4 linked regions of the Struthio camelus genome follow. The protein of the gene in region 1 purifies or fractionates together with the protein of each later gene. This does not show direct contact. Links are inferred from orthologs where the notes say so. Each region holds a gene or a part of one and is shown in the gene's direction. Other genes may lie near its edges.

Region 1 (7,346 bases):
TATTTATTTGTGTGTACATATATGTGTGTGTATAGTGGGGGGGGGGGAAATGAACAATCATCAAAATTGATCCTTCACCATCAAACATTTGTGATAAATTAGCATTTAAAAATGTCTGGATTTTTTTGACCAGCCCTAATAATGATTAATGAGGATTTCATGAGGAGACTTAGAGAAAAAGACTTACTTCACGTGCTCCCTGCTATCATAAAAGGCAGCCGAGTATTTCAAGAATAATACTCTCTTTTTAAAGTAATGGTATGTTGGATGTCAAACTCTGAAGGCAGTGTTAATTGAGGGTGGAGAGACTGAGGATATACAGAAGAGACCAAGGAGTCTATTGCGATGGTCAGAAGGAAAGTAAAGCACGAGAAGAACAGCCAGAAAAGGATAGACAAGGCTGAAAGAGAGCAAACCTAGGAAAAGATAAATGTTTGTGTCCTTCTGCAACGTTGAAGGTGTAAGAAAAGGTTTAAATAGCTATCTCATCTTCAGGGAATCACTGCTATTTGAGTAGTGTGATATAAACATAGATTTGTCTTTGTGCTTGCGGTAAGAGACAATTCCCTGCAACTTAGAGGTAGTCTGAAGATGCCAGGCCAGTCCTTGCAGCAGTTGGCACAACTGATCTCGACATCCCTCTGAGCTCCTCCCAGGAAGGAATGGGCTCTGTGTTGTGCACCTGCAGAATCAGACAAAAGCCCAGGCAGGATGGGCCCCTGGGACCATCTGGTCCCTCTGTGAAAGCCTGCCCTTCTTGTCACCCCTTGGAAAGACATCCACATCTCCTATCCAGGAGAGAAAAGAACCGTTGCAGGAAAGGAGGCAGCGGTTGGGGAAGGGCTGACCATTCTTGGCACGCAGGAGAGGGGCTTGGAAAGACCAGCAGTGACTAATGGGAAGAACATTAGGGGTGAGAGGCGAAGGTTGGCTAGCTAAAATCTGAAAAAGTATAAATAAAAATTAGAGGGACTACAGTAACTGATTAGAAGGGGAGAGCTGCGGATTGAGAGGATCCCAAATTACTTTTTTTAGGGGAGACTGGTTTGGAGTGAAAGATATTTTAACTTTCTGAAGATGTAACAGAGGTATGAGGAAAATACTGTATGATGGATAAATAAGTACAAAGAAAGCAGACGGGACTACGTGTTGTTTATGGGTAGATGCCACTTTCCAATTAAATGGAGGGTTTTTTGTTTTATTTAAGATTTTGGGGATATTTTGAGACCAAAGAAAGGGTAATTTAAGGCAAGACAATTTGTGGTTATCAGCAATGATGCTAGGTATTTATTATGGCTGTCACTATTGCACAAGTGGTAGCTTTGCAAATTAAAGCTGAAGTGCTTAATTTGAACTTTCATGTTTCAGGAGTTCATATGACTAAATGTTTATTTTTATGATGTGGCTGGTATCTGCGTGATCTATGAAAAGCTGAGTTGAAGGAACTGTTATCTGAATTAAGGAAAGGCACAGCAATGGAGAAAGCATATTCCCTTAACTTCTTCCCCTGCCCCCTTAAAGTAGGAATGGGGAAGAGTCACACCGCTGAACTCAGGACTCAGGGAGGACAAGTGAACTCTTTGTTTTCCCCAAACTGGGGCATTTGTGTAAACAACATGTATTTAACATACACAGCAGAAAACTTAAATTGCTTTTACCATGGAAATCAGTCATAAGGTTGCATGCCTGTTTCAGTTATGTGCGTATTGTATGTGCTTAGTTTTCAGAGAAAAGCCATTCTCACCACAATTAAATCACTTGATATTTAAAAATCAGCTGGGATCTCCCCATTTTATAATAACGGGTAGCAGCACTCTGTAGACCGAAGGCATGGCCTTACTACATTTGTGACTATCTGTTTGATAGTGTAACTAATGGTACTATACAACCATGTACTTACTGCTATGGTATGCATTAATCCCCTAAAACAAAAGTTCAGCCTTCTAAATAGTTTAAAGGGGAGAGGAGCCTTTTCAGGTTGGTGTTAAAAAATTTCTGGGGCAAAAAAATAGTGAGCCTCTATTTTAATGCTCAAAACAAATTACAATTCTTATTTTATGTACTCGAGCCTTTATATACAGGCTTGAGTGCTTTGGGGTAAGTAAGTAATCTCTTGATGTGCCTCAAAGTCGTTAGCTGTTTTGTTTCTCCATGGTAACAGCAGTATAAAGCTGTATGAGCATGTTACTGAAGTAGGCAGACATGACATTGTTTAGGAAGGGGATTACATGTGAGGACTGCAGCTCTAAGATGATTCTGAACAAGGGCAGTTTTTAACACAAGTGCTGTAAATGTGTGCAGATGTGCTAATTCAAGGCAACATTCAAGGATCAAAAAAGGCTGAAAGGATCTAAGCCATAAAGTTTGCGCTGGTAGGATTATTGGACTAGGCTGATGAAGTTCTGCAAACATGGCTCCTCATGTGATGAAGACTGTACCAGATCAAGGTTTAAATGTAGGGCTCTGCCTCAGGTTCAGACGCACTACAAATCGAAAAGACTCAGTGTGTGTTTTGTTTAAAAATTTTAAATTTAAAGTTCACAAAAGAGCATAGAGGTGGGAGAAGCAAAAGACATCTACCTTATTGTAGAGTTGTCTGTAAACTCCAGTAAGTAATCTTGTAATATTAACTAGGTAAGCCCTGTTTACACTTTGTTCCCCTCCATGGGAATATATATCACTGTTACCTCAGCAGACTAGTTTAGATAGCTCTTACATGAAGAAATGCACAAAGGTAATTTATACCAGTGCAGCTTGATCATGCATTGACCTCTCCTTAGTACTGATGCACTTTTTTTAAATCTCCTTTTTTCCCCCTATTTAGATGACTGTGACCTCCTCAACTGAGGAAAATCTACTAACTTGCATTTATATAAGGAAAAGGTTGTGATAACCTTTTTCTAAGCTGTACATATTGCATGAGGGAATTCTTGCTGTCTCTGTTCCAACAAGACTTAGTGCAGTGAAGGGTTGAGCTAACCTTGCAGATTGAGTCGTGTTTCCTCTGAGTGGATTCAGCTTGGCTGGAGAGGACAGAGTGCATGCATGTGCTTAAGGGACTGTTTAACTTTCCTTGTATAGTTAAAAACAGTGCGACTTCCTTGTCTCTCCTCCCTTTTCCTGAAGGCAGGTGAACTTAAATAATTTCTTCTGGTTTAGAAGGCCATGTGACCTGCTCCAGTACAAGGCAACTTCATGTCAGTACACCTTCCCTACAATAGGGCTTTTTAACAATCTTTAGTTGTTCAACTTGCCTCTTTTTAAAATTTCTAAAAGCAAGTGAAAATTAACTTTTTACTAGGGCTTCCTAAGGAACCAGACTTGTCTACTAATGCTAACCTCCTGTTCATCTGCGCTGCTCTCTGCTGTTTCTGCTCCAGTAGCTTTGGACCATATTGGAAAAATTCAGTGGGTGCACAGCTTGGTGGCAGAACAGAGAGGAGACCTACATGAATGCTCTGGAGCAGCAAAGCTGGGAGCAACAGCAGTTTGCTTGCAGTTGGTTACCTGGTCAGCTAGCTCTGCACTAAGCTGCAGACGAGCGTTGCTTGTCTGACGGAGAGTTAACGCACTTGAAAACCTTAAGTTAGCCCTGTGGCTTGTGGAGCCACTCGGTCTAGTTACCGGTCAGGCTGGCGCATGCCGTAGCCTGTGAAGAAATTGCTGTTATAGCTCTACTTTTGTCCTTATGTAACTGTGCTAACAGGGTTGTACCAGTGCGACTATTTTGAGAAGGACTGTTTCCACTTTCAGTTGAAACTGAATTTTCAACCCCTTTTCCGCGCGGCGCAGCGCGCCGGCCGGGCCTGCGGAGGGTGCCCGCAGCGGGGGGGAAGGGGCCGCCGGGGGGGGGGGTCTATCTGGGGCCTTGCTCAGGCCTCATCTTGCACCGAGGGAAGAGCGGAGGCCTGGCGGGGTCCCGCTGGGGCCGGTTTCCCGTCCGGAATGGCGTATTTTGCCGAAAGCGAGCGGGCGGCAGCGGGGCGTCTCGCCGGGCTTCCTGCCGCCGCCTGGCCCAACATGGCGCAGGTACAGCTGTCGGCGCGGAGGGGCTTATGCCGGCAGAGGCAACTTTTCCTTTCCCGTAACTCCGCCGCGTAGACGCGACCAGCCCGGGCTGCCAGGGCCCCTCCTGCCGCCCCGAGCTCGGGTCCGGCTCCGGGTGCCGGCGGGGGCGGCCCCAGCGCACGGCGCCCCGCGCGGGAGAGGCGCCGGGGGGCGCGCAGAGGTGCTGCGCTCGGGCCGGTATTTACGGTAGCGGCGGTGCGTGCGGCGGCCGTTACGGTAGCGGGGGGAGGAGGGCCTACGTGCGCGGGGGCGGGGCGGGCAGTGCTGCGTGCTCGGCCCCGCGAGGCGCGTCTCCCTCGCGAGCTCGGTGAAAGGATTTGGCGCCAGGCGGGTCCGCTCTGCAGCTGCCGCAGCCGCACGAACCAGCCGCGCCACCCACCCACCGCCTCCCACCGGGGCCTCGACCCAGAGCCGCCGCCGCCGTCCGCCCGAGCCCAGAGTCGCCTGCGCGCCGCCCAGGGACCGAGCCGCCGCCGCCATGAGCTGCTCGCCCGTGAACGTGAAGAAGCTGAAGGTGTCGGAGCTGAAGGAGGAGCTGAAAAAGCGGCGCCTCTCCGACAAGGGCCTCAAGGCCGAGCTCATGGAGCGGCTCCAGGCCGCGCTAGACCAGGAGGAGGCCGGCGGGGGAGGCCCCGCCAGCAGCGCAGTTGAGCCTGGCAACGGCAGCATGGAGGGGGAGGCAGCCGAGAGCGGCGGGGGCGCCTCGCAGCTCCACCAAGGAGGAGGCCCCGACCAGGCCGCGGCCTCCACCGCGGAGGACGACGACGAGGAAGGGCTGGAGGCCGCCGATGGCGACGCCATGGAGCTGGGCGAGGAGAACGGCGAGCGGGCGGGGGCCGGGGGCGGCCCCATGGAAGAGGAGGCGGGCGGCGAGGAGGAGGAAGAGGAGGAGGAGGAGGATGAGAACGGAGACGACCAGGGTTTCCAAGAGGGGGAGGACGAGCTCGCCGACGAGGAAGAGGCCGCGGCCGGAGACGCCAACGGGCATGGCGAGCAGCAGCCGCAGCCCCAGCAGCAACAGCAGCAGCAGCAACAGCCCCCGCCGCTCCTCCAGCCGCGCGGGGCCGCCAAGGAAGCGCCCGGCAAAAGCACCGGCGGCGCCTCGGGGCCCCCGGCGGCGGCGGCGGCCCCCGCCGGCTCGGCGGGCCCCGCTAAGCAGCAGCAGCAGCAGAAGAAAGCGGAAGGTGGCGGTGGTGGCGGCCGCCCCGGGGCTCAGGCCGCCGGGGGTGAGTTTGCGCGACGCCTTCGGCGGAAAGGGGGGGGGGGGCGGAGGGGGAAAGAAAGGCCGTTAATCCCCCCCCCCCGCGGCGGGGGGGGCGGGCGGGCGGGCAACGGCCAAGAGGGCGGTTTCCGGGGTGCGCGCGGGAGGGCGTTCGCGGCCGGCGCGACGGCGGCGCCTCCCGCGCCGGGGGGGGGGAGGGGGGGCGGTGTCCCCGAGGGGGTTTCCAGTCTTCCCCCCCCCACACACACACACACCGGCGGCGGCGCCGCCCCCCCCCCCCCCCCGCACCGCGTGCTCCTCGCCAGGCGGCTGCGCTGGGCCGCGGGCGGGGGAGAGGGGTTCTCGAGAGGGGGCCGTTGCGCGGGGCGGCTGGAGGAGGAGGAGGGGCCGTTGCGCGAGGGGGGTGGAGTGGAGGCGCGCGGGGGGTGAGGGGAAGGGGCCGCTGCGCCGGCCGCGCGGGGGGAGGGGCGGCCCCTCCGGAGGGGCCGCTGGGGCGCGCTGTATTGTGCAAAGGAGCGCTCGGCGGCGTGACGTCACTTCCGGTCTGGGTGCTCCACGGGATCGCGTTTGGAAGGCCTGGTACAATGGAGGCGGGAGGAGGCGGAATCCCTTCCCTGCAGGCGGCCGGGCGGCCCCGCGCGGGGGCTCCCGCCCGCCGCGCTCGGCCTGCCGGGAGGCGGCGCACTCGTGCGGAGCGCTCGGCGTCCTTGTGAGCGCCCGGGAGTGTCCTGCTCGGCGCGGGTGAGAGCGCGGGCGCCTTCTTGGCCGTTCTTTTTCACCGCGTGAGAGCGGGATGGCTTTTCTCTGGGCGTCTTCTCTTAACATCGAGGACCGTGCCAGATGCGGAGATGCAAGCTTTTTGTCTTGGAGCAACACAAAAAAGTCTGCCAAGATGCTGTTGCTTTTCAGTTCCTGAGGGTTTTCGTTCAGTTTCCAAAGTTGGAAACGTTATGGATGGTTTTATTCCCAGCAGAGTTACATTGCGTTGCTAAAATAAATTGTTAACTCTGTTACAGGAGATGCTAAAACAGAACAAAAACCTGGTGAGAAAAAGAGGGGTGTGAAGAGACCACGTGAAGATCATGGCCGTGGGTATTTTGAATACATTGAAGAAAATAAGTACAGCAGGTAAAGAAACTTTTGATGCTGGACAAGATTTTGCGAATGAGAAGCTGTAGGAAGTATTTCCTATACCCCTACTAAAATGCTTCCAACTTTAATTTTTTATTCTCTTCTTTTTCCTCCTCCCTCGCCAGGGCTAAGTCCCCTCAACCACCTGTTGAAGAAGAAGATGAGCATTTTGATGACACAGTGGTTTGTCTTGATACTTGTGAGTAAACATGCTTTCCTGCGCTCTAGAAGGTGTAGTGGTATGCTTTTAAACTTAAAACTATGCTTTCTGAAATGTAGGGCAGATCCATTGATCGTTATTACTAAGAAACAGCAAGATTAGCCCTTTACTTTTCAGTATAACGAAACAACAAAAGGATGCCTGGGTCTTTATTAGCAATTATAAGCTTGGCTTTCCCAAGAAATAACGTAATATCATATCGTTTTCTGAAGAAATCTTAACCAAAACACTAACCTGGTACATAAACTAAGCTGTGCAAGCGTGCAGTGAACGTAGATCATGCTAGAAACAGCTTGGGAGCTTGAGTCGTGAGAAACTAATTTTATATCACGTGAATGTTTTACTTCGATAAGTTTCAGGAATAAACAGAGGGCTAAGGTAGTACAGTCTGTGGGGTAAGTTTCCTGCATAACTTGCTGAGGCCCTAGTTACATGCAAACTAATGCAGTATATTTTTTGATTTCTAATAAACTTGAGAAGAAATCAGCAGAAAGCTCCTGGAAAATGCTGCATTCATGCAGTCTGCGAGGTTGGGGGGGGTAGATGGTATATGCAAATGGCATGGCAGAGAGAACTGGTCCAAAGGGCATAGAAATTGAGAACTACATACAAACTGTTTTTTGAAGCAGATTATAAATGTTACTATTATTGTGGTACAGCATGATTTGGACTAACTTATCTTTGAGGGTAAGTATAAGCAGTTAC
Region 2 (7,398 bases), on another chromosome or scaffold:
ATGTATGAATAAACACATACAAATCTTTTATATGGCAAGTTACAAGAGACAATCAGTTAAATAAATGATGTTTCAGAAGAACTACGATAGGTCTTTTCTGTATCTGGCAACGTACGTAGAAAAATACTTAAAGTATATATTCCAGTTAACTGAAAAATTTTAGAGTAAGTTCAGAAGTCAGCAGTAGCTATAACTATGTGTCACCTTGGTAGCTAGGTTTGGATCAAATTGTGCTTTTAGAAGTCTGACCCTAAATACTGTCAATGCATTTTTTTTCAAAGTAGAGTAATTTTAGTAACATAGGAAGATTTCCCGGCTGGTTTTGAAGTTATATTGTCAATGTTTCCTTAAATGCATATTCTCTTCATCTTAATTCCATGTAAAACCATCCCTCTTGCCATTCTTTCTTATTGTGAGCTCTTGCTTTCACCCATTCCATTAAAATCAAGGGGATTACTTGCATCGTTATTATCAGTAAACCTATTTGTATATACTGTGCATAAGGACTAACTCAGACAGAAGCTTTATCTTGAAGGTATTTTGTATATAGCAGGCAGTCTCTGACCTGAGATGCTTACAGTCAATTTAGACAAGACAAACATAGGGTGGAGGAAAGGGATCGCTTACACCAAGAATTTCAGGGCAGTGAATGGTATGTTGGTTCTCTTCCTAAAGAATGGGGAGGACTAGAAGAATCAACTCAATGGGCATGACAGGGAAGTATAAAGAAGATGAAGAAGAAAGGAAAAGAGGCAGTAAAAACAGGTATGGCTTAAAGCTGGTAGGACTAGACAGGGAGGGCATGGCATAGAGTAAACGAGTTTGGTAGAATGGCAGAATTAGGCCTAAGATCCTGAAGTAAAGGTAGAATTCAATTCAATTTACACAGGTAAAATTCAGTTGGATTTCAATCACTGTCACGAATAGTCACCGTAGTTACAGGATTAAACAAATAGCAATGATCTTTTTCTCTCAGCAGTAAATATGTCATATAAGGATTAGCACCCAAGAAGGTATGTGTCTTTTTTTTATTTTATTTTGATTAACCACAGACTTTGAATGTGGATGAAACACAAGACCCAAACCTAAGTCACATCCCGGAGGAAGTATTTAAAATAACCTGAAGGCATGATGGGGCCTGATACTAATAATCATAATGGCACGTAGTCTCAACTTTCTCAGTCTTCAATGTACAGTCTTCAATGTGTAAACAGTGACATTGTTAGTCCTGCACGTCACTATCAGTTTTCAAACCAGACTGCTTTTGCCAGTATACAGCCACACTGTTATCCTGCTGTTGGGTATGGGACATATAAAGCATCATGTAAAATAGTAAAGAAGAAGAGATTAGCTTCTAAAATAGGGCAGCTGGGAATCATGGCTAGACTGGGCAGCTGGAAACAGACATTTGGAATTGCAAATATGGGAGAAAAAGAGAGATGGAACTGAGTGGGGAAAATGCTCAGTTGGAAAAGAGTCTGCAAATTTAAAGAAAGCAGTCTTAACCAGGAAAAGATAACCTATGCCAAAACACCAGTGCACAGGCTATGAAAGGAAAGACAAGACAAGTTCAGCAAAATAAGAAAAAACTGAAAAAAGAGAGAAAGAAGAAAAGAAAGGAAAACATACAGAGAAGTCTAAACGAGAAGATAGATAATCTTGCAAGTCCTTAGCAAACTTGATGATTGGGGCAATGACTCTTGCAGGGAAAAGAAGTAATGAATTGTATCATCAAAACCAGTCTGGTTATATCCATCAGCTGAGCCTGAACTTACATGACAAACTCTCAGGAACTGTTGCCAATTTCAGTTTACTTTCATATGCTGGTCTATAAACTTGTAACTTAGGAACAGCTATGCTTCTACACTCAACTGCAACTGCTACATACATGAAAACCTCCAAAAAGAAGGTGGATGGGACAGAAGGGGGGTAGCATTAACCACTTCAGCCATCCTAGCTAAGTCTATCTGCAAATGTGAGTTTGGCCATAGTGCTCCTGATCCACTTAAGCAAACGCATGTTATTTTTCCAACTGAAGCATGCTGCCTGTGTACTGTATAAATTAATTGAGGTCATCTGACAGGCAGTGGCTTAGTTGTTTTTAATCACAAACCATACCTTACAGCCACTGCTTTTGGGTACAGATCTGATAGGCTTACACTCTAAGCCAAAGCTGCCTGAAAATCAACAGACGGTCTCTTGCTGGATATGGGATGTGTTCCTTTAAAATGGTATACGCTAGAATAGAGAACATACTTTGAAACATTTATACTGTCTTTATTAACCCTTTGCTGTTGCCTTGGCCCCATAGCATGTTCAGTTCCATAAACCTCAGCCTGAAGAGTTGATTATAGAGCTTGTCCATAGTGCACTCTACTCTGCCAGTGGACTATGTTGAAATGAAAATCACCTGAGGTGAAGATTTGAGCTACTGTAGCCTGAGCTGAAAGCATGGTAGAATGCTAACAAATTAATATCTTCATGAATTGAGCATCTGGCTGACACATCCTACGTATTAGTATGTTTTACTACTTTCTTATATCCTTGAAATTACTTGTGTTGCCTGCTTCTTAGATTACTTTAGTACTTCTGTATTCGTGAGCAGCAAAAACGTGAGAAAAAATATGTTTACAAAAGCAAATAGCCAATATCACTGAGGATTTAAACTCAAGGAGTTAAAACAGCTGCAATCCTGGTAACAGATATTATGCAGTCTTGCTGCACACGTGCATGGGAATCAAAGCAGACAGCTCAGCTTGGACCAGTTGAAATGATGCTCATGACATGTACCGCAAGCACCAAAACAAAAGAGTGGCTTGGTGTTCTTGGCTGTAGCGGGGGAGGGGAGCTATTTTTTCCATATGCTCACACAATACTAAGTTTTCCCTTTTTTTTAATTGCTTAAAGGTCTGGCTTATAGCCTGAAGCAATAAAATGTTTTTACTTAAAAAAAAAAAAAAAGTGGGGGCGGGGGTTGGACTCGTAATCTGAACAAATCATGTTATTTTGTGCTCATCTTTAATATGCTGCCTGCTATACTGCTAGGAAGTTTACAAAACCAAATATAACGTCCTCTATTCCAGTTTCTCTAAGTTGCTACTTAAGAAAATGAATCCAGTAGAGGATAAAAAGCACTGTAAAGGCAGTTTGCCCAAGGACAACCTGGATCCTAGACTAGATTACTAAACAGCAACATCTATCACCACTATATATTTTTATTCAGAAGTAGCCATGTGCGTTCTTCCTGAATTGTAATAACAGGAGCAAATATGCAAGTCGAGCCAGAGGAGCTATTTGCCAGAGGGTGGAGCAAGCAAATAATAGTGCATGCATTCATTACTACAAAAATTAGGTAACAATTGTCACTTTTTACCTAGAAGCAAAGAACGCAACATTTTTTTTTTAAAGATGTGGTGATACACTTTGACTGTGTCCATGGCTAAATGAGGTATTTGGAATAGTAAACTGTACAAGAATTCAAAGTACGATTACACCGTGCGTGTATGGGTGAGCGGGTGGGTGTCTGCCGCGCTCTTCATGCACAGCTTCATCAACAAGGTTGATATATCCTCGGGCAAATGGAATTAAGGCCTAGGCACACGCTCAGGGCTCCAGCTCCCGGCGTTATGTAACAACCAAATCTAAGTTTCCATTAAAAACAATAAACTCCGGCGCTCTCAGTTGCCAAACCAGCAGAGCTGGAAACATTAACCAAACCTCTGGTACTGGAGCAACTGAGTCAGTGTTCATACCACACCTTAAGTGAAACCACTGCAACTCTTTGTCAATAAATACTACGTTCAAGTCGCAGCAGCGTTTCCCGTCGTTGACCGGGCAAGACCCGAGGGCCTGCGCAACCCCAGGGCGGCTGGGCCACGCCAGCCCGCCTCGGCGGCGGCGGCTCCCGGCAGCGCCGCGCCCGGCACCAGCCGCACAACCGCGCCGGTCTTCGAGCCGCGAGCAGCTGCCGCGCTCCCCCCGGCCCGGGCGCTGCCCCCGCCGGGGTGGGTTTCGTCCCAGCCGCCGCTGGCGATTTTATAGATCGCGTCGAGGGGCCGGTAACGTCGGACGGGACGGGGCGGGGCGGGGAGGGGAGGGGCGGAGCGGCCCTTCCCCGCCCGGGGACAACGGCCGCGGCCCCGCAGGCCCCGGGGGAGGCGGTGCTCCCGGGCAGCCCTAGGCTGCCGCGGCGGTAACAGCACGACGCCCGCCCGCCTTCTTTCCCCTGCCGCACACGGCAACGGGGCCGGGCCGGGCCGGGCCGGGCAGGGAACCTGCCCTCAGCGCTGAGGCGAGAGGCGCGAGGCCTCCCCTTCCCTCCCAGCCTAGTCCCGCGGGCCGCCATTCGCCTCACCCCGCGCGCCCCGCCCTCCCCGCGGGGAGAGCCAACAGGAGCGGCCGAACCGCGTGAGTGACAGTGGCTGGCAGCCAACGAGGAGGCGCTTTGTTGCTGTGTGACCGAGGCTCCGGCAGTATAAAAGCGGCCACGCGTTAAGGCTCCGGGCCGGAGAGTACGTGTCTCGGGGGGAGGAGAAGGTGGCGGCGGGGCCGGTGCGGGAGCAGCCGAGCGCCGCGGGGAGGGGTGTCAGCACCAGCGCGCGTGGGGGATTTTAATCCGATTCCGGCCGGCCCGGATTTTATTGGGAGCGGGTTTTAAAGTGAGTATGAGCCGCGGCCGGATGGCGACGGCGGAAAAGGGGGGGAGGGGCGGGACCGGACCGGATTAGACCGGCCCAGGCGGGGAGGAGGAGGAGGAGGAGGAGGAGGGGGGAGCCGCCTTGCTGACCCGTGAGCGTCGCGCTCGTGTGTTGCAGGCGCCTGTCGTGTCTCGCCTCTGCGGACGGGGCAGCATGTCCGAAGCGGAGCAGCAGTTGGCGGCCGCCGCCGGCGCCACCCAAAACGGGCACGAAGCGGCCGAGGGCGCCGGAGAGCAGCAGGCCGAAACCGGCGGGGCCCCGGCGGCGGCGGCGGGCGCAGCGGCAGCAGCGACGGCGGGAACGGCGGCGGCGACGGCGGGAACGGCGGCGGCGGCGGCGGGAGCCGGACCGGCGGCGGCGGGAACAGCGGCGGCGGCCGCCAGCCAGAACGGGGCCGAAGGCGACCAGATCAACGCCAGCAAGAACGAGGAGGACGCGGGGTGAGCGCCGCGCCGCGCTCGGCGGGCCGCGTCTGAGGCGGGAGCAGGCCGCGGCCCCCCCCCCCCCCCCCCCCCGCCCCCGGGCGCCATGTGCGGCGGCGGCGGAGCGCGGCCGCTAGGCCCGGCCCGGCCCTTCGGCGGGAGCGGAAGCGAGGCGGGCGCGCCGCGCCGCCCTGGGCTGCGCTGCGCTGCGGCCGGCGGGGGAGGGCGGCGGGCGGCCGCGCTGCGGAGGGATCGGGCGGGCGGTGAGCCGGCGGCCTGCAGCACCAGCGCTTCCTTTGTTCTGGAGCTGCCTTTTGTTGGCGCCATGTGGTGGCTGGGGGAGGGGCGGGGGAGCGGGTTTGTTGCCTTCTCACGCTGTAAAATGGAAGGGGATTTACCTCCGCGCGCTTTGCCGTCCCCGCGTTTCCCTCTTTTGTTTTCCCTTTTTAACGAAGGGAGCGAGGGAGGGGAAGAAGTTGCTTTCTGTCGGGGGTGGGGGGCTGGCTCAAACTTTCTGGCGATTGCACGCCCGATGAGCACCGGCGTTGGTGTCAACGCGAACCTGTTTTGTTTAATACATATAAAAGAGCCGTCCTGGGCTTGGAAGCCACTGGGAGACTCGGTGTTTTTGGGGAGAGTGAAGGAAAAAACAGTATGATTGAGATGGTGTGCAATGTGTCTAAAACAGTAAGTGTGATTTTTGGTGTACTATTTGCGGCATTGTCAGAAAAAGGTTTTATTTCTTAAAAGTGTTATGTAGAGGACTTGGGGCAGTCTCTGCTTCAGTAGCTGCATCCTTATGTACAAATTATTTCTTGTCATAGCTGATCTGTTTATCTTTTTATGAATATATATTCTTGACTCAAAAATACCTTCCTGCTTCTCAGAGGGTCTTTGTGATTCAAGTGACTCCATGTATTTAATTCAAACTGTTACCACTGGGCTCTAAACCGAAGGAGTTGTCTGCTTCAGGTTAAATGGAAAGCTCTAGCCACAGTAGAATGATAGACTTTGGCTTTAAGGGAGGAAGCAAGACTTGTACTCTTCCTGAGAGCTCAGGCAGGATGCCTTCTGCAGACCCCATGAGGACTGAGATCTAGGCCTGTGAGCTCTGTGCGAGTTTCTTGTTTCTTCTTTGATTTTTTTTTTTTGCTTTTTTAAAGTATTCTGCTCTGAAAAGTGAGTTGTTTTCCCCTTTCTCACATAGGAGGTGACAATTTTTGACCCAAAATCTGTGGAAGGTTCTAATTTTCTAGGAAAATTAGTTACAGGCGTTCAGCTATGTGAAAACTTTAACACTTAAAGTAAGAGCAGTCTGAGGCACCAGCATTTAAGTATTGTTAATAGCTAAACCGTACCTTGATTTATGAGTACTAATACACTGAGGAGAGATATGTTAAGTATCTGTTAAGTATATGTTAAGCTTGCAATTTTCCAGTCTGTGTGGCCCTCTGAAGGGGAAGCCAAATAACTTCTAAGACTATCTTAGCCTTAATTTTGAAGGCTCTACCATGTGTTATTTAAGTACGTATATCCAGGTATTGATCACAAGGGTTACAAAACAAAGGATTGTAAGTTAAAGTATATCTACTGCTGTTGTAAGAGGTGAAATTAGCATGTGGCATATCTACATGTGTACAGTAGCACCATCCCTAGTGCAGAAACAACTTGCAGGCACCCCCCCCCCCCAAAATCATGCTACCACCATTGAATTTCTTTTGAGCATTCTGTAATTGCATTCAATGATGCTGGGGTATGTTATGCATAGCTGCTGTCAGTCTGTACAGATCATAGCAATCCTGCAAAATTCCTGCTTGATCAGTAAGCTGTTCTGATGAGAACGAAGCCATCAAGTTACCTTGCTTTCACCCATTGTTGAAAGCCTTAGTAAACATTTTGTAAAATCTTTTCTGTAAGGCTCTATTGTAAGGGTTCTAAAAAAGAAAAAAAAAAAAGGCACGCAGACTTCGGTTAGAGCCTTGTCTGTTAAGAGTGCACAGCTTCATCTTCTGAAAAATTCTAGGTTTAGCCTAAAAGGGAGATTTTTCCTTCAGTTGAAGGAAAAATCTAGAAAACATATACCTATGTAGTTCTTTTTCATGTTGCCTTTTGAATATAAATGGATGCAACTTTGGCAAATCAAAGTTATACATTAACACCAAAAGCCAATTTTGTTTAGAAGTACTCTAGTTTCTAAAGTGCTGCTAGTTTCTAGTGCCAAATTCGGGTTGCTTCTAAACAGAGCAATAACTCTGATTTAATCTATAGTTAGATAAAAA
Region 3 (7,372 bases), on another chromosome or scaffold:
GCGTCCGGGGTGGGGGGGGGCACTGCCTTTCCCACCCCCTGCGGTGCTGGGGGGGGGGCCGGACACCTGGGCCCCATCCTGCTTCCTCGGCGGGGGGGGGGAGCAGGACTCCTGGGTCCCTTCCCTGCAGCCTGGGGTGGGGGGGGACACCACCGTTTGGGGGGGGCCGAGCTGGGGACACTGGGGACACTGGCGGGGGGGGGCCGGTTTCCGCTGCCGAGCACCGAGCGGCGGCTCCTGAAAAGTGACCGTTTATTGGAAGCAAATACCGGGGGGGGGGGGGAGAAGGGGACAACCCAGGGCGGGGGGGGGACAATGAAGTGGCCCAGGGTGGTGGGGGGGGCCCCCGGGGGCTGGGGATGGGGGGGGGGCCCAGTTAAAAACATCAACGGTAGAAAAACAGCAGAGATGGGGGCTGAACCCCCCCCCAACCCCCCTGCCCAGCCCCAGAGCTGGGGTTTGGCCGTGGGGGGGGGGACGGGGGGAACCGTCCTGTCCCCGGGACGGACCCCAAGGCTTTGTCACTGGTCGGGGGGGGCGGGGGGGGCGACGCAGGCACCCACGGGCCCCGCTGGGGGCAAACGGGGGCCGATGGGGTTGGGGGGGGGCATAAGGGGAGACCCCCCCCCCACCACCACCTTCCCCAGGCAGGACCGGCTGCGGGCGCTGCGCCGGGGCGCCCGAGGCCACCGCCGCGGGGACCGGCGGGCGGCAGGGGGATGCGGTTATTTTGGGGGGGGGGGAACGGACGACAACGGGGTTGGGGGGGGGGACGGGCGGCGGGCGGACGGGCTATGTACAGCGGGGGCGCCGCCGGGGGCCGCCTTAGCTCTTGGCCGCCTCGCGCTCTTTGCTCTCGGCGTCCTCGGGGTATGCGTGCCAGGTCAGTCTCTCCTCGTAAAAGGCGATGACGATCTGCGGGCACTTCAGGTTCGCCTCCTTGGCCAGCACCAGGTCGGCCTCGTCCGTGTCCTTCCTGCGGGAGTTGGGGCGGGGGGGGGGGACACAAACACATAACGGGGCGTCATGAGCCGCGTCCCCCCCTGCCCGGTTCGCGTCCCCAACGGCGGGGGGCAGCCGCGCTCACCACTTCATCAGGAACATGAGGTCGCCGCACGAATCCGTGGCGCCGATGATCTTCTCGGGCTCCAGGCCTCGCTCGAAGCCCCGCGCGATGTCGTTGCTCTGCGGACGGACGGGAGGGCGCGAAGGAGGAACGGGGCGCTGGCGGCGCCGCGTTACCCCCAACCCCTCCCGCCCGCCGTCGCCCGGCCTCCGCTCACCTCCCGTTTCTTTTTGGCCTTGATGTCCTCGGCGGCGTGGGGCAGGCCGGATTTCCGCTTGGCGCTCTCCGGTTTCTCGCGCGTTTTGTTGGCGTCGCCTTCCTTCATTTTTTTGTATTTTTTCATAAACTCCGAGATGAGCTCCGGGCAGTCCAAGTTCTTCTCCGGCTCCCAGGTGTTATGTTCCCTGCCAGCGGGAAATTTCAAATAAATGAATGAATGAATGAATGAATGAATAAGTGAATGAATAAGTAAATGAATGAATAAATAAATGAATGAATGAATAAATAAATGAATGAATGAATAAATAAATGAATGAATGAATAAATAGATAAGCAAGCAGTGCTGCTAAACGGCTTTCCGGGCGCCGCGGCTGGGCCTCTCCCCAAGGCTGGGAGAGGCTCTCCCCTGCGCCCAGGGGTGCCCCCCGCCTCCCTCCTCTTCCTCCTCGGCTTGAGCGGAGCCGCGAAGGCAGGGGGCACTTACTCGGAGAAGCCTTTCCACTTGAGCAGGTACTCCACTTGCCCCTTGACGACGCGCCTGTCTAGCACCTTCTCCACCACATACTCCTCCTCGTCTTCCGAGGACGAACTGTCTGCTGTCCGCTTGCTCTTCTTGCCCATAGCGCAGGAGCTCCCGCCGAACGCGCCGACGCCACCCAATTCCTGCCGGCCGGAAGCGAAACGCCGTTCGCCGGACGATCCCCAAAGGCCGGCTCGGGCCGCGCGGGGATTCGCCGGGCGGAGCGAGGCCGACCGGCGCCGCGGTTTGAATCTGGTTTCTCGGCGCGGGCGCCGCAAGGTCTCGAAGCCGCCGCGTACGCGTGATCCCCCCCCTCCCCGCCCACCGCCTCCATCCCGCCCCGGGTGAGCCGAACCGGGGCGTCGGCGTCCCCCGCCGGCAATGCTTCCAAGCTCCCGGGCAAAGAGCTGGGTTTTTAAATCCTCTATTTTTTGTTTTAATGACACAGGAAAAAAAAAAACGGAGCGAGAAGAACCGGAGACGGGAATCAGGAAATTCCTCGTCTCCCCGTCCCCGCTCGGCATTTCCTGCCGCGTGCCGGCGTAGGTCGAGCGGCGACGGAGCCGGCCGGGGGCCGCCGGTTCCCGCGCCAGCCGCCTGTCGGAGCTCGGCCTCCTCCTGCAGGGGCAAAAGGAAAGAGCCGGGTTCATCGGCGCTCGCTCCCCGCCGGGGCGGTTTGATTAAAGGTTTGGCGGCGCGGGGCGGCGGGCGAAGGAGCTCGGCGCCACCCGCTTTCGGTGCGTTTTAGGCTGCTTTTTAAACCAAAAACGGCGGCACCGAAAGCTAGCGGGAAGGGAATCGCCCTCTTCCCCCCGCTCCGCCCCGGCCCTCGAAGCCGCCTTCCAGCCACGCGGTGTTTGGGCCCCGGGATGCGTGTTATCCCCGGGCGATTCAACGCGATGATGTAGATGGGGCAGGGGGAGACCCCGGCAGCCCTGACGCCACGGTGACAGGCCCCTCCGAAATCTCCCAGCGTGGGTCATTCGTGCCATCGATGCCGCGGCGTTCGGAGGCGCTTTCCAGCTCCAAGCCGCGGCCTCGACCCGCGGCAAAGGCGTGCCCAAAGCCGGCCTCAGCCCTAAAACCGCTGATTTTTGGCTCGAAGCAGCTCGGGAGCAAAGGGCGCGGAGCGGGATCCCCGCGAAACCTCCGCGTTGGCGGGCGACGGGGCTCCGCCGCTGCCGCCAAACCCCACGGAGAAAAGCCCCGAGGCCGGGCCGAGGCGGCCGCCCCCTCGCTCCGGCTTGTCCAAACCGGAGAGAAATAACACCAAAGCAGTCGGGCGCTTCCTCCCACCCGATGCGAGACGGGTCTCCTCCGCCGCCCGGAGCCGCCTCTCTCCGGAGCGATTTAAGAGCTGTAAGAAACATAACGGGCGACGGCAGGAGAAGACCCACGGCGCCAGGAGCGGAGCCGAACCTCGGCCCGGCCGCCCCGCACGAGCGCGCTGGGGCCGCCGGTTGTTGCCAAGGCCCCTGGGCTCCGGGCTGAGGCCCGACGCCGCTCAGCGCACGCCAGCCTCGCCGGCCGCCCGGAGCCGCTGCTCGGCGCTGCACATCCACCCGGCGGGGCGGGCCGCGCGCTCCCATTGGCCGCCGCCGCCGCCGCTCACGCCGCGGCCCCGCCCCTCTCGGCCCCGCCCCGCCCGCCTCATTGGCCGCGCCGCCCGTCGCTCGCGGCGCGACCCCGCCCCCTCCGGCCCCGCCCCCCGCGGCGGCGCGGCCCCGCCCCCCGCGCGGCACCATTGGCCCGCGCGGCTGCCAATCAGGCCGGCGGGGCACGCCCCCCCTCCTCGCTCCCTGCCCCCCATTCATTCGGCGCAAGGCGCCGCCGCCACCGGCCCGCCGCCGCCGCCCGCTACCTGGGCACGGAGCAGCTCCGCCGCGGCCCCGTCTCCCCCGCGCCGCCGCCGCCGCGCCGAGCCGCCGCCGCTCCTGCGCACTGCCCGCCGCCCGCCAAAACAGCGCCCTCAGCGCGCAGGCGCCGGCCGCCCCGCGCCGCGCATGCGCCCGCCCCGCCCGGCCCCGCGCCGCGCCGGGCTGCGCATGCGCCGAGCGGAGTCCACCTTGGGCGCCGGCGGGCGGGCGGGCGAGCGTCCTCGCTGCTGCCGCGCGCGCCGGGGGGCTGCGCTGGGGGCGCCGCGCGCCGCCCGGCCCCGCCGCTGCCGCTCCGCCGCGGCCCCGCTCCTGCTGCGCTCGCTGACCTCCGCCGGGCCCGCCGCAGGGGAGCGCTGAGCGACAACCGGCCCCGCCAATGAACACCGCCGGGCTGCTGCGCTAGCCAATGAGAGGGAGGCGCGAGGCGGGACCGCGACCGACGGAGCCAATCCGGGAAGAGCTGGCGAGTCTCCGGGACGAAGCGGGAAAAATCGACGCGCGTCACGGGCGGGGCTTCGGAGGCCTCGTCCAATGCGATAGGCCCTGAGGCGGGACCTCCTCTGCGCTAACCAATCGGCGGCGACAGCGCGGGCGGAGCGGCGCGCCACCACCAATGAGGCCCAACCGCTTTGCCCCGCCGCCCAATGGGAGGCGACGCGGGGGCGCGGCGCGGGCGGCACCGCCCAATGGGAGCGGCCGGGGGGCGGGCGGTCGGCGGGGGCGGCGGAGTGAGGCGGCGGCGCTCTCGTCACTCGGCCCCTTTTTGTGTCGGCGCCTCGCAGAGGGAGCATCGCGCGCGGAGCAGCCCGGCTCGGAGGCCGCCTCTCCCCCCACCGCCGCCATGTCCAAGAACGAGGTAAGCGCCGCGCCGCCCCCGCCCTCCCCCGGGCCGCCGCCGCCGCCCGCCGCCGCCCGCCGCGGCCTCCCCCTCCTGGGCCGCCGCGCTCGGCGGCTGGCGGGCCGCGCGCACTGCGCCTGCGCACCCCGCCTCCCCGCCGCCCTCTGCGCACGCGCGGGCGCCCCCCCCGCCCCTCGCGGCGCGCCGGGGGCCCCCAGCGGCGCATGCGCAGCCGCGCGCGCGCTCCCGCTCTCTCTCTCTCCCCCCCCCCCCAACCCCCCGCCGACCCGCGGCTCCCCGCTCGCGGAGCCACGTGCGCGCCTTTGTGCTCGGGTGGGCTATGGCGGCCGCGCGGCCAGCGCGCATGCGCGGCGCTCAGGTCGGCTCCGGGTTGGGGGGGGGGGGCTCCGCCGGGCCGGGGCTGGGCTGAGCCCGGCCGCCTGCACGGGAGGGGTCGGGGGGGGGCACAGGGGTGACAGGGCCTCGCTTGGGGGCTGGGGAAGCCCCATAGATGGGGCTTGGGGGGTGACAGGGCCTAGTTGCGGCCGGCGCGGCCTTGCAGGCTGGACCTGGGGGGTGACGGGGCTGCCCTGGGGTTGGGACAGGCCGGGGGGGGGGCAGGGAGGGCCCTCGGGATGGGCAGGGTCTTGGTGGGGCCTGGGCAGGCCCACAGGTTCGGTGTGGGGGGGACACGACCTGCCTGGGGCTGGGGACAGGGCTGGGGGGGCCCTGTGCAGGGGGGTGGCGGGGGCAGGACCTGACTGGGGCCTGGGGGGCCCCTTTGTAGGGGAATTAGCAGTGATGGGACCTGTTTGGGCCTAGGGGGGCCTGTGGAGGGGAGTTGGCAGTGATGGGACCTCTGTGGCCCTGGGGGGGGTAGGGGTGTCCCACAGGACAGGTAGGGAGGGCAGCCTGCTGGCAGCAGCACCCCCTGCTCACCCCCCTCCCCGTACCGCTCTTTTCTCCCACCAGTCTCCTAAGGAGCCCGAGCAGCTGCGCAAGCTCTTCATTGGCGGCCTCAGCTTCGAAACAACAGACGAAAGCCTCCGCAGCCACTTCGAGCAATGGGGCGCCCTGACCGACTGCGTGGTAAGGCCTGACCCGCGCCTGCCTGCCTCCTCGCGGGGCTCTGCGCTGCGAGGAGACGTGGTTTGCGTTGGGCTTCTCCGCCAGGCTGAGCGGAGTCAAAGCGGTGCAGGAAGCAGCTGAGCCTCTGTGCAGAGACAAGGGTGGGCAATTGAGTTTCGGCCCTCAGGGGCTCTTGTTGTGACACCTCTGGGGAGACCTGGCTCTCTGGGGCTCTCAGACCGCTGTTAGCCCTGGTGGTGTAATACTGAGGGGCTCGAAGCGTATTTATTTGGGTTAAATGGAAAGTGGTTGCTCTGGGTGGAAGACCTGTCTGCTTGGGCCAGGACCTGCCCGCAGAAGGGAGAGGTGAAGGTGCTGAGGGACAGCGTCAGGATGGAGCAAGCCCCGGCCCCAAAATATCCCCCAGTTTCCCTGAGCTGTGTCATAGGGACACCCTGAGGCAGCGCCAACGTCTCTGCATGCGGCAGCTGGTCCCTGATGGTGTCTTTGAGAAGAGCAGGGTTGGTGCTAACTGGTAACCAGCAGGCTAGGACCCCCGTTTGCTGACGGCTCGTTTAGTACCTGTCGCTGTTCCTTGTCTGACGTGGGTTTGTCCTCCCAGGTGATGCGGGACCCAAACACCAAGCGCTCGCGAGGCTTTGGGTTCGTCACGTATTCCTCAGTCGAAGAGGTCGATGCTGCCATGAACGCCAGGCCACACAAAGTCGACGGCAGAGTTGTTGAACCAAAGAGGGCCGTTTCCAGAGAGGTAGGAACCCGCGTGAGGTGCGGACGCTCTGCGGGGCTGCCAGGAGGCGCTGGGCACCTGACGCAGCCAAACCGTGCCCGTGCGCGCGGTGACCGCCGCGATGTGCCACGTCCTGGTGGTGCCAGGAGCTTTTCTGAGGCTCAGGTGATGCCTCGGGCCGTGGCTCTCCCAGCTAGTCCTGCAGCGGTCAAGAAACGCTTTTGGACCTCACTGTTAAGGGCTGAAGGGACCTGGCTGAGGGTAGAGATGGGGCGTAGAAGGCTCAAGGCTGGCCTTGGGGTGGGTCTGCACGGCCTGGATAAGCGGTAACCAAAGCGGGGCAGAACTGCCAGCTCTTCTAGGCTTAAACACCTCGCTCCGGGCCTGGCTGAGAGGGTAACCGCTTCCGAGTGCTGCTGGATGGCTGGTGACTGAGCGCGAGGGTGAAGGTGCTGAGGACGGAGGCTCCGAAGCCTGTTTTTTTTTCTGCCCGGGAGACCTGGGCGTGCGGTGCTGCCCCGTTTCCGCCCCGTTTCCACCTCACGCGTTGTTCCCGCAGGACTCCCAGCGGCCCGGGGCCCACCTCACAGTCAAGAAGATCTTTGTGGGCGGCATTAAGGAAGACACAGAAGAGCATCACTTGAGAGACTATTTTGGCCAGTATGGCAAAATCGAAGTCATTGAGATCATGACAGACCGCGGCAGCGGCAAAAAGAGGGGCTTCGCTTTCGTCACCTTCGATGACCACGACTCCGTCGACAAGATAGTCAGTAAGTCTGGCTGCGGGGAGGGTGCTGGGGGCGCGGGATGGGCGTCCGGCTTGACGGCAGCGTCCTAAACGCCGTTTCCTTCCCTGCAGTTCAGAAATACCACACTGTGAACGGGCACAACTGCGAGGTGAGGAAAGCCCTCTCGAAGCAGGAAATGGCCAGCGCTTCAGCCAGCCAGAGAGGTGAGCGCTCAAATCTCGCCCCAGCTCCCCGCCGCCCCGAGCTGACGCTAGACGTTACTGTCTGTGCTGTTCCTAAAGGCTGTC
Region 4 (7,763 bases), on another chromosome or scaffold:
AGGTGGAGCTGTTGCCCATGAAACTTAAGATCCTTATAAAATGAATTTTTAGTGTGCAGGTTGCCTAAGAACTTTTTAATATGTAGGACAATATTATGCATTTACTCATATATAGTTAAAAATAGTTCAAAAAAATTGTAGGAAAACTGCTGTAGATGTTGGAATATTGTCTGTTTTAGCAGACTTGTCACATCTTACATGCAGTGACATGAGAGTGAGAGAGTCATGACAGTGAGAGAGTCATTCTTTGGTTCTCGGCTCTGACTGCTCTACGGAGGTACCTGCGTATCTCACGTTTGCCTCGGCTCACCACAGCTAGAAAAAAAAAAAAAAAAACTTTCAGACTCCTGGCTCATAGGAATGCTTATAGCATGCAACTTGGCACGCTTATCACGCGATGGGATGCCTCACCTAATATATGAGTCCTACAGGAACAGAGAGGTCTCTGGCTGGAGTCTCCATTCTGGTTCAGATGACCTGGGAGGTATGAAGATCATCCACACCGTGCGTGACATGCAGGAGCAACTGATGTTTAGCTGTCTAGGAATCCCCTTGCATCACAGGAGCCTTGTGGTATGTATTAGGGTGCTGTACATTTACAGTGCCTGTAAATGCAGGGATTGAATTCTTAGAACATGATTTAGAGCAAACACATGAACTATATGAAATCCCTTACAAGGCAGTTGGGAAGGGACAGCAGACAGGAGAACACCAGATCAAGCGAAGGTGTGTCTTTCTGTAACGTCAGAGATGTTTCCATCTGCAAGAGATGTGTGTGTATATATATATTTTAAAGATATTTTCCTTTTTCGTTTTCTGATCATCATTAACCAGTCAAGAGAAGTGGAACGTGCAAATGAAGAGGAATCATTTGCGCTATATTTGCACTGTGTCAGCCACTACTTTTGCCTAACGATTTGCTCACCTCTTCTTAAAGACCCTTACCTTTTCCCCGTTAGTAGTGACTTCTTTCTTTGATCTCCTCCTTGGCCTACTTGTCTGTTTTGTTTATGGCTGTCTCTCTGTAAAAACAAGCATTCTGTTTTCTTTGTGATCCATTGAGGCCATAATTAGCTCCTCTTAATTTTTCTTCCTCTTTTGCTGTAAATTGTTGAAGGGCTATTAAAACTCCCATAGGGTGTTTTCTATGTCAAACAGAATTAATGTATTGGGAAGAGCTATGTGGTTTTTATATTGAGTGGCAGGCAAAATATGTTTTTGTATTTCTTGTAATTGTGTGGAACTTTCACATAGCTCCTGGGGAGAAAAAGAAAGCTTTTCATTTTTTTTGATAGAGTAGCATGATTTGTTTATTTTTAAACAACAAACAATTTAGGGACATTATGAGCACGTTCTCTTTTCTAAAAGCTAGATAAAATGACTGTGTCTGATATAAACAAATGTCATCTTCCCCTGTCAATAGTTCTCGAGCATAAACAATATTTCTGTCATAAGTTACTCTTCATAGACTTGGCTATAACAGGAAACAACTCCTTTGAGTTTAAAGGATGAAAACTTGGCCCACTGACAGAAACGAGGACAGAATTTTAGTAACGCGTTGTAGTATTAATTTCTGGAGTTGACACCATCTGAAGAGGAAAAGGAAGAACCACAGTTTACTCTGTGCTGAGATTGTGAGCCTTTTTGGACTTTGCCTGGGGCTGTAGTTACCTCACTTCCTACTGAGGTCAATGTTATGCTTACATCTGTGAGTCTCCAAGAGTGCATTTTTACAGCATCTTAAGATGATCTAAGTCAGGGATTCTGCAGTTCTGCTTCCTCGCTTGTGCCAACGCTGGCAGTCAAGGGATCGTGCAGTGAACTGTTTCAGAAAGCTGAGGCAGCTACAAACTAAGTACTTTTTCACTGTAAGATTATTTTTGGCTGTCTCAGTTCTCTCTTAAGTGTATCACTCTATGTTTGCACAAGCATCAGTGCTGGTCCAAGGGAAGAAGCAGGATCACATGGCTGGAGGGCAGGACAGCTTTAACCCCAACATGGATCAGTTTAGACTACTGGGGAACTACATCCTGATATGATACCTTATACAAAACTGTAACCACCAAGTCAGGAGGACTGCAATATTCGGTGTTTTTCTTGCTGCACCTTTATAAAGGCTCCCCGGATCAAAATTGGAGGGGAGACTTATACTAGTCTCTCTGACCAAGGGACCAGGCCCAGCACTGCTGTTTGTCTCTCCTCTTGCCCTGGTTGGGAAACTTGTGATCAAGCTGGAGAAGAGAAGCTGGTAACAGTGATGTGATTGTGAGGTTTGGTGCCAACGTTCTGGGAAGCGTGGAGACTGGAATAGCACAGACAGGCCTTTGAAAGGTAAGAATCGGGATATAAAATGGGTATTATTGGTAGAGGTAACACAATCACTTCAGAGGGAACAGTGTCCTAAAAAAAAATCTTGAAAAAGTCTATGCAATTATCATCAGAGATGAGATATGATAGGCCTGCAATTCAGGATCCAGTGCCTGAAAAAGCAAAGAAACAGAAAGCAAGGAACAGAGCAAACAGGGAGGGATTCCCAAACTGAAGAGGAAGTAATGGGATCTGAGCCGGCCCCATGGTATATACGTATATATTTAAGAGGAGAAGGGTGAAGTGAGTGCTGTTAAGTATGGATGCTTTAACACCTCATGAGGTTTTGAGGGTTGCACGCACTTCAGTGTGTTAGATTATACGTGGTCTGTTTTATCAGAAGTAGATTGTCTTAATGTCTATGCTCAGATTTGTTCATTGCAGGGATAACGAGCAAAGGAAGAAGCTACCTGAGGAGGCTGTGACATTGCCTTCGCTGAAGGCTTTCGAAACAGACCAGGCAGGTATGTGTGAAGGCTGCTGAGGGAAGGCAGAAGGGGACGCACCAGGAGAGGGAGCATGGATGGGGTGAGGCTTACGTTCAAGGGGAAGCATCAGTGGCCAGACACACAGTGCACCAAATCGTATCGGTACCGCTCCTGGACCTGCGCTGGGCAGAAATGGAACAGGGGAACGATGCGGAAAGAAGAGCAGTTAGAAGGGGACGCTTGCGATTTATAAAGGAATACCACACGTGAAGGCTATGTAACTGAATTAGTTACTACAGAGTACTGTGAAGGATTAGATAAGAGGACTAGGTTAACATCTGTTTCAGAAACCTCGTGGTGCAGGCACTAACGTGCCTGGTAAAACATGAGCTAACCTTTTCACCTTCAAGGAAAGAAAATATGACCACAAAAATGATTCTTGGCTCCCAGATCGTTTGTAGCATAAACTCCAGTGGGCGTAAAAATCTTCTTTCCAATGAAAAATTCAGTACGTTGAAAATCAGGCTACAAATTTGAGGCCAGCAACGTTTAATGTACTATTAAAGTAAAGCATCAAAAGTAAACGTATGTATTAGCAGTCTCATAGGTTTTACACACCCTTGAGGTGTAACTATTTATCTTAGAAAATACCTCCCAGTGGAGCTAAGGAGAGATTTAGGGGTGAGAAGATGATGCAGTGATAGGGTTGGAAAGAAGACTGGAAAACGTGCGAGGAAACACTAGCAGGAAAAGTAAGAGAGAAAGAAGCTGCAGGAGGCAACAAGGACCGGGAGCACGTTGGAAAGGGAAGCGAGAGTGAACACGAAAGAGAGAAGAGCCAGATAGCTGCGGAGAGGGAGTAGGTGGGAAGAGATTACAACGGAAGGGGGGGGGGGACTTGAAGAGGGGAGTCACCCCCGTCCATAAAAATATGCTTTCCACGTTGCCTGAAAGCTGGGAGAAGCGTGCCAGCCAAGAGAAATGAAAGTGAAAGGCTTGGGCTGGCAGAGTGAGGAAAATACACCCCCCAAGGTAAGAAAAGTCCCGTCCGTGCTGGTTTCCACTCAGGCGGTTCCCGGCCTCAGCGCGGCGGCCGCGCCGCCCCCTCCTGCCGCCCGGCCCCAGCGGCCCCGAGCGGCCGGGCCCGGTTCGCAGCGGCCGGCAAAAGGGGCAGGGAGGCCGCGGGGAGCGTGAGGAGTTGGTCGGCGCCTTACATCCTCCTTCCCGCCGGGCGGCAGAGACAGGGGACGCGCGCGGAGCCGCCGCTGCCTCCGCTTGTCCGAGTCTGCGCGAGCCTCCTCGGGCTCTCGGCGGCCCTGCACGGAAGGGAGGTCGGGGAACGGGCGGCCGTGTGGGGAAATCCCCCTCCGCGGTGGGGCGGGGCGGGGCCTCGGTGCGCGGCGGGAGCCTCTCGGCCTGCTGCCCGGCGGGGGCGGGGCCGGAGGCGAGGGGCGAGCGGCACGGCCGCCTAACGGTCAGCGTTTCAAATGCTCCCGCGCGAGCTGCCAGCAGACCCCCCCCCCCGGCTCGCTCCCCCTTCTCCTCCCCGCTTCGGCTGCGGGGGCGGGGCCGCCAGGGAGAAAGCGCGCGGCTGGGAAGGAGGCGGCCCATTGGCTCGCGTCCGCTGGCTTGACGCATTGGCGCAGCCGGGCTCGATCCCTCCCCCCCTCCTCACCGTCTCCTCCTCCTTTTCTCGGCGCGAGCCGGGGGCGGCCCGCATCACCGGCCGTTGCGGGGGAATTCTATTGGCTAGCCAAGGCGTCAGTTACTGGCGAACCCCCTTCCTCTTTCGCTGCTTTTGCCGACGCGCGGCGGAGGTCGCGCCCTCCGATTAGGGGCCGCGCTCGTCAATCACGCCCGGGGCCCCGCCCCTATAGGTGAGTCGCGGACGGCAACGGCGGCCCGCTCTGATTGGCTGCGCCGGCGTTGGGGGCGTGCGCTGCGGCGGCCCGGCGGGCGGGGCTCCCAGCGTCCCCTTTGTGTGGGCACCAGTCGCCGGCCGAGCGCTTGAAGAGTAGCAGCCGCCATTTTGTGCGTGTCTGTGTTTTCCCCCCATCCCCCCACCCCCCTTTTCTGTGGGAGCAGCGGCAGCCGGGACGCCCCATCTCTTCCGCTGGTAAGGGGAGGCGAAGCGAAGGCTGTGGGCCAGGCCGAGGGAGAAATCGCTGGCGGCTGCTGGCTGCCGTGAAGTCGCGCTGCTCGCAGCGAGAGAGGGGGAAAGAAGAAGCCAACGGAGCGGGGGGGGGGGAAAAAAAAACCTTAGAGCTGCCCCCCAACAGGAGGAGGAGTCTCGGCGCCAGGCCTAGGCGCAGCCCCGGCACCGGCGGCAGCATGGAGAACTCGCAGCTATGCAAGCTGTTCATCGGCGGCCTGAACGTGCAGACCACGGAGGCCGGGCTGCGGGAGCACTTCGCGGCCTACGGTACCCTCACCGACTGCGTGGTCGTGCTCAACCCGCAGACGAAGCGCTCCCGCTGCTTCGGCTTCGTCACCTACTCGGCGGTGGAGGAGGCCGACGCCGCCATGGCCGCCTCCCCCCACGCTGTGGACGGCAACGCGGTGGAGCTGAAGCGGGCCGTGTCCCGCGAGGACTCGGCCAAACCCGGGGCCCACGCTAAGGTGAAGAAGCTCTTTGTGGGCGGCCTCAAAGGGGACGTGGGCGAAGGGGACCTGGTGCAGCATTTCAGCCAGTTCGGCCCCGTGGAGAAGGCCGAGATCATCGCCGACAAACAGAGCGGGAAGAAGCGCGGCTTCGGCTTCGTCTATTTCCAGAACCACGACGCCGCCGACAAGGCTGCCGTGGTCAAGTTCCACCCGATCCAGGGCCATCGCGTGGAGGTCAAGAAGGCCGTGCCCAAGGAGGACATCCAGTCGGGCGGGGGAGGCGGCGGCGGCGGCGGCTCTTCGAGGCCTTCCCGGGGAGGCAGAGGCGGAGGACGGGGACGGGGCGGCGGCGGCGGTTCCGGCAACCGGGATCACAACGGCCTTTCCAAAGGAGGCGGCGGTTACAATAGCTACGGCGGCTACGGCGGAGGAGGCGGCGGCGGCGGCGGTTACGGCTCCTACGGCAGCGGCTCCTACGGAGGAGGTGGCGGAGGTGGAGGCGGCGACTACGGCAACGGGTACGGCGGGTTCGGCAGCTACAGCCAGCACCAGTCCTCCTACGGCCCCATGAAGAGCGGCGGAGGAGGTGGAGGCGGGGGCGGCAACTGGGGGGGCCGCAGTAACAGTGGACCGTACAGAGGAGGCTACGGTGGGGGAGGGTATGGAGGCGGCTCTTTCTAAAGTTGGAGCGCCCATACCCATTGGGGGTGGCATGGAGAGCCCTCCCTTTGATACGGGGCAGCTTCTAAATGGTTTCTCCCCTCATTCGCCGAAGGGCAGCTCCTTTTAAATGCCTCCCTGCTGTGGGAGCAGCTCCTAAATGCCCCCTGGGGGTCGCCTCTGCTGCCTGTGCCACTTCTTTCTCTCTGAAGATGGACTGGGCCCCACATACACATACTTTGTGTTACAGTCATTGATGGACTCTATTTTTTTATTATTACTTGGACCTTGGTCGTTTTTATACTAGCAACGAAAAAATGTCTTGTTTTAATTTGTTTTTTGGGGGTATGGGGCGGGGGGGGAAGTGTCTTGCTGATCTGGAGTAAAAACTGGGGAGGGTTATGGGGGAATTTTCTTTGTTGTAAGGACTCGATACCTGGCTACTACATTTTTTTCTACAAAATCTACTCGGATCCCATGACTGAAATTAACATTTCTGTAAAGGAGGAAAAAATCGTTTTTACGTTTTTTATTTTTTAAATAAATCATTGTGTTCATTGACCTTTACATGTCTAATTTTTTTTCCTAGGATTCATTCCGTACGGTTTAAGGCTTTTCTGGGTTTGAAACAAGTGTTCCTCTACTTTAAAATCTCTGTGTGTTTAGAGTAAATATTTTATTGCCAGTAAAGGTCCTAATTGACTTTTTTGCTACCCCCCTAGTGGATTTATTGGTTTTCAAACACTTGACAGAAATTTTTGAAGTACTAATCCGTGGATGTGGTCTGTTTTTTAAATATTTGTTCTCACTTATGCAGTTTGTGTGCATCCACCATCTTGTACTAGGCAGTTTGACGTGCTGACATGGTTGGTCAATTTTTTCTATAGGACTTTTCCATCAACGTATGTACTGTGTAGTTTTGAAGAAATAGTTTGTGTTAAGCATGTGCTTCATTCATATAAAATGTTCAGAATTTCCGATTGCTTAGTTTCAAGTCCTCTTATTGGTTTGTCTGTATATGATTCCTTACAGGAAAGGGTCAACATTTATCCCTTCTTTAAATGCATACTTGTTTTCATAGTACCGGGTTAACAGACTTCACTCTGAACTATTGTCCTTCATTAAAGTTCCCCGAGAATATTTTGCAGCACCACCTACTGGCAGGATGGCAGAACCATTGCTGTAGGCTTTATTACAGCAAAGTAAAATTGGTTTGCTAACAATTGTACTAGACTTTTGAAGGCTTTTTTTATGCCATTAGATGACTGGTGTGGAATGAAATGAAATCTGCATGTGAATAAAGATGGGCTCCATGAGTATTGACTGAAAAAAGAAATGGATTTGCAATACCTGCCTCAGCACGTTTTTTGGGTCTTTTGCTTTTTGTTTTTTTCTTTTTAATAATTGCAATTGCCCATATTTCAAAAAATGATAATCTAAACTGTTTGGGCAAAGTGCTATGATAAATGAGCCAGCTAAGTGTACCAGTAACATAGGTGCCAGTTGTAAAGCAAAAATATCTGTGTAGTCTGCTTGATTAACAAATGTATATTTGTAGCCCTTTCACGCAATAGAATTAAAGTTTGTTGTTTATTAAAAAGCATAATGTTTTAGGGGAAAACTGCCTTCCTGCATAGAAATATAGAATAGCAACGTTTATGGGTTTATGGATATCAAATAAAGAATTGAATTCCTTACATGCTT

What was found.
Region 2: the proteins of HNRNPU (region 1) and HNRNPAB purify together in Homo sapiens (affinity purification with mass spectrometry; 4 studies listed by BioGRID and IntAct, with this or other methods). This does not show direct contact. The link is inferred for Struthio camelus from reciprocal best matches to the Homo sapiens genes HNRNPU and HNRNPAB.
Region 3: the proteins of HNRNPU (region 1) and HNRNPA1 purify together in Homo sapiens (affinity purification with mass spectrometry; 6 studies listed by BioGRID and IntAct, with this or other methods). This does not show direct contact. The link is inferred for Struthio camelus from reciprocal best matches to the Homo sapiens genes HNRNPU and HNRNPA1.
Region 4: the proteins of HNRNPU (region 1) and HNRNPA0 purify together in Homo sapiens (affinity purification with mass spectrometry; 3 studies listed by BioGRID and IntAct, with this or other methods). This does not show direct contact. The link is inferred for Struthio camelus from reciprocal best matches to the Homo sapiens genes HNRNPU and HNRNPA0.

The regions. Positions count from the first base shown.
Region 1 is NC_090944.1:99,222,077-99,229,422, reverse strand, and holds the start of HNRNPU (heterogeneous nuclear ribonucleoprotein U), read left to right. Parts: upstream 1-4,330; 5' UTR 4,331-4,546; coding exon 4,547-5,294; intron 5,295-6,306; coding exon 6,307-6,418; intron 6,419-6,546; coding exon 6,547-6,620; intron 6,621-7,346. UniProt on the Homo sapiens protein: DNA- and RNA-binding protein involved in several cellular processes such as nuclear chromatin organization, telomere-length regulation, transcription, mRNA alternative splicing and stability, Xist-mediated transcriptional silencing and mitotic cell progression.
Region 2 is NC_090954.1:5,964,120-5,971,517, forward strand, and holds the start of HNRNPAB (heterogeneous nuclear ribonucleoprotein A/B), read left to right. Parts: upstream 1-4,382; 5' UTR 4,383-4,511; exon of another isoform or gene 4,512-4,658; intron 4,659-4,814; 5' UTR 4,815-4,850; coding exon 4,851-5,137; intron 5,138-7,398. UniProt on the Homo sapiens protein: Binds single-stranded RNA. Has a high affinity for G-rich and U-rich regions of hnRNA. Also binds to APOB mRNA transcripts around the RNA editing site.
Region 3 is NC_090969.1:2,899,860-2,907,231, reverse strand, and holds the start of HNRNPA1 (heterogeneous nuclear ribonucleoprotein A1), read left to right. Parts: upstream 1-4,473; 5' UTR 4,474-4,523; coding exon 4,524-4,538; intron 4,539-5,492; coding exon 5,493-5,609; intron 5,610-6,210; coding exon 6,211-6,357; intron 6,358-6,895; coding exon 6,896-7,106; intron 7,107-7,195; coding exon 7,196-7,288; intron 7,289-7,366; coding exon 7,367-7,372. Other genes in the region: CBX5 (chromobox protein homolog 5), read right to left, coding at 826-976, 1,088-1,185, 1,284-1,470, 1,770-1,948, 4,009-4,473. UniProt on the Homo sapiens protein: Involved in the packaging of pre-mRNA into hnRNP particles, transport of poly(A) mRNA from the nucleus to the cytoplasm and modulation of splice site selection.
Region 4 is NC_090954.1:5,744,340-5,752,102, reverse strand, and holds HNRNPA0 (heterogeneous nuclear ribonucleoprotein A0), read left to right. Parts: upstream 1-4,754; 5' UTR 4,755-5,126; coding exon 5,127-6,080; 3' UTR 6,081-7,756; downstream 7,757-7,763. UniProt on the Homo sapiens protein: mRNA-binding component of ribonucleosomes. Specifically binds AU-rich element (ARE)-containing mRNAs. Involved in post-transcriptional regulation of cytokines mRNAs.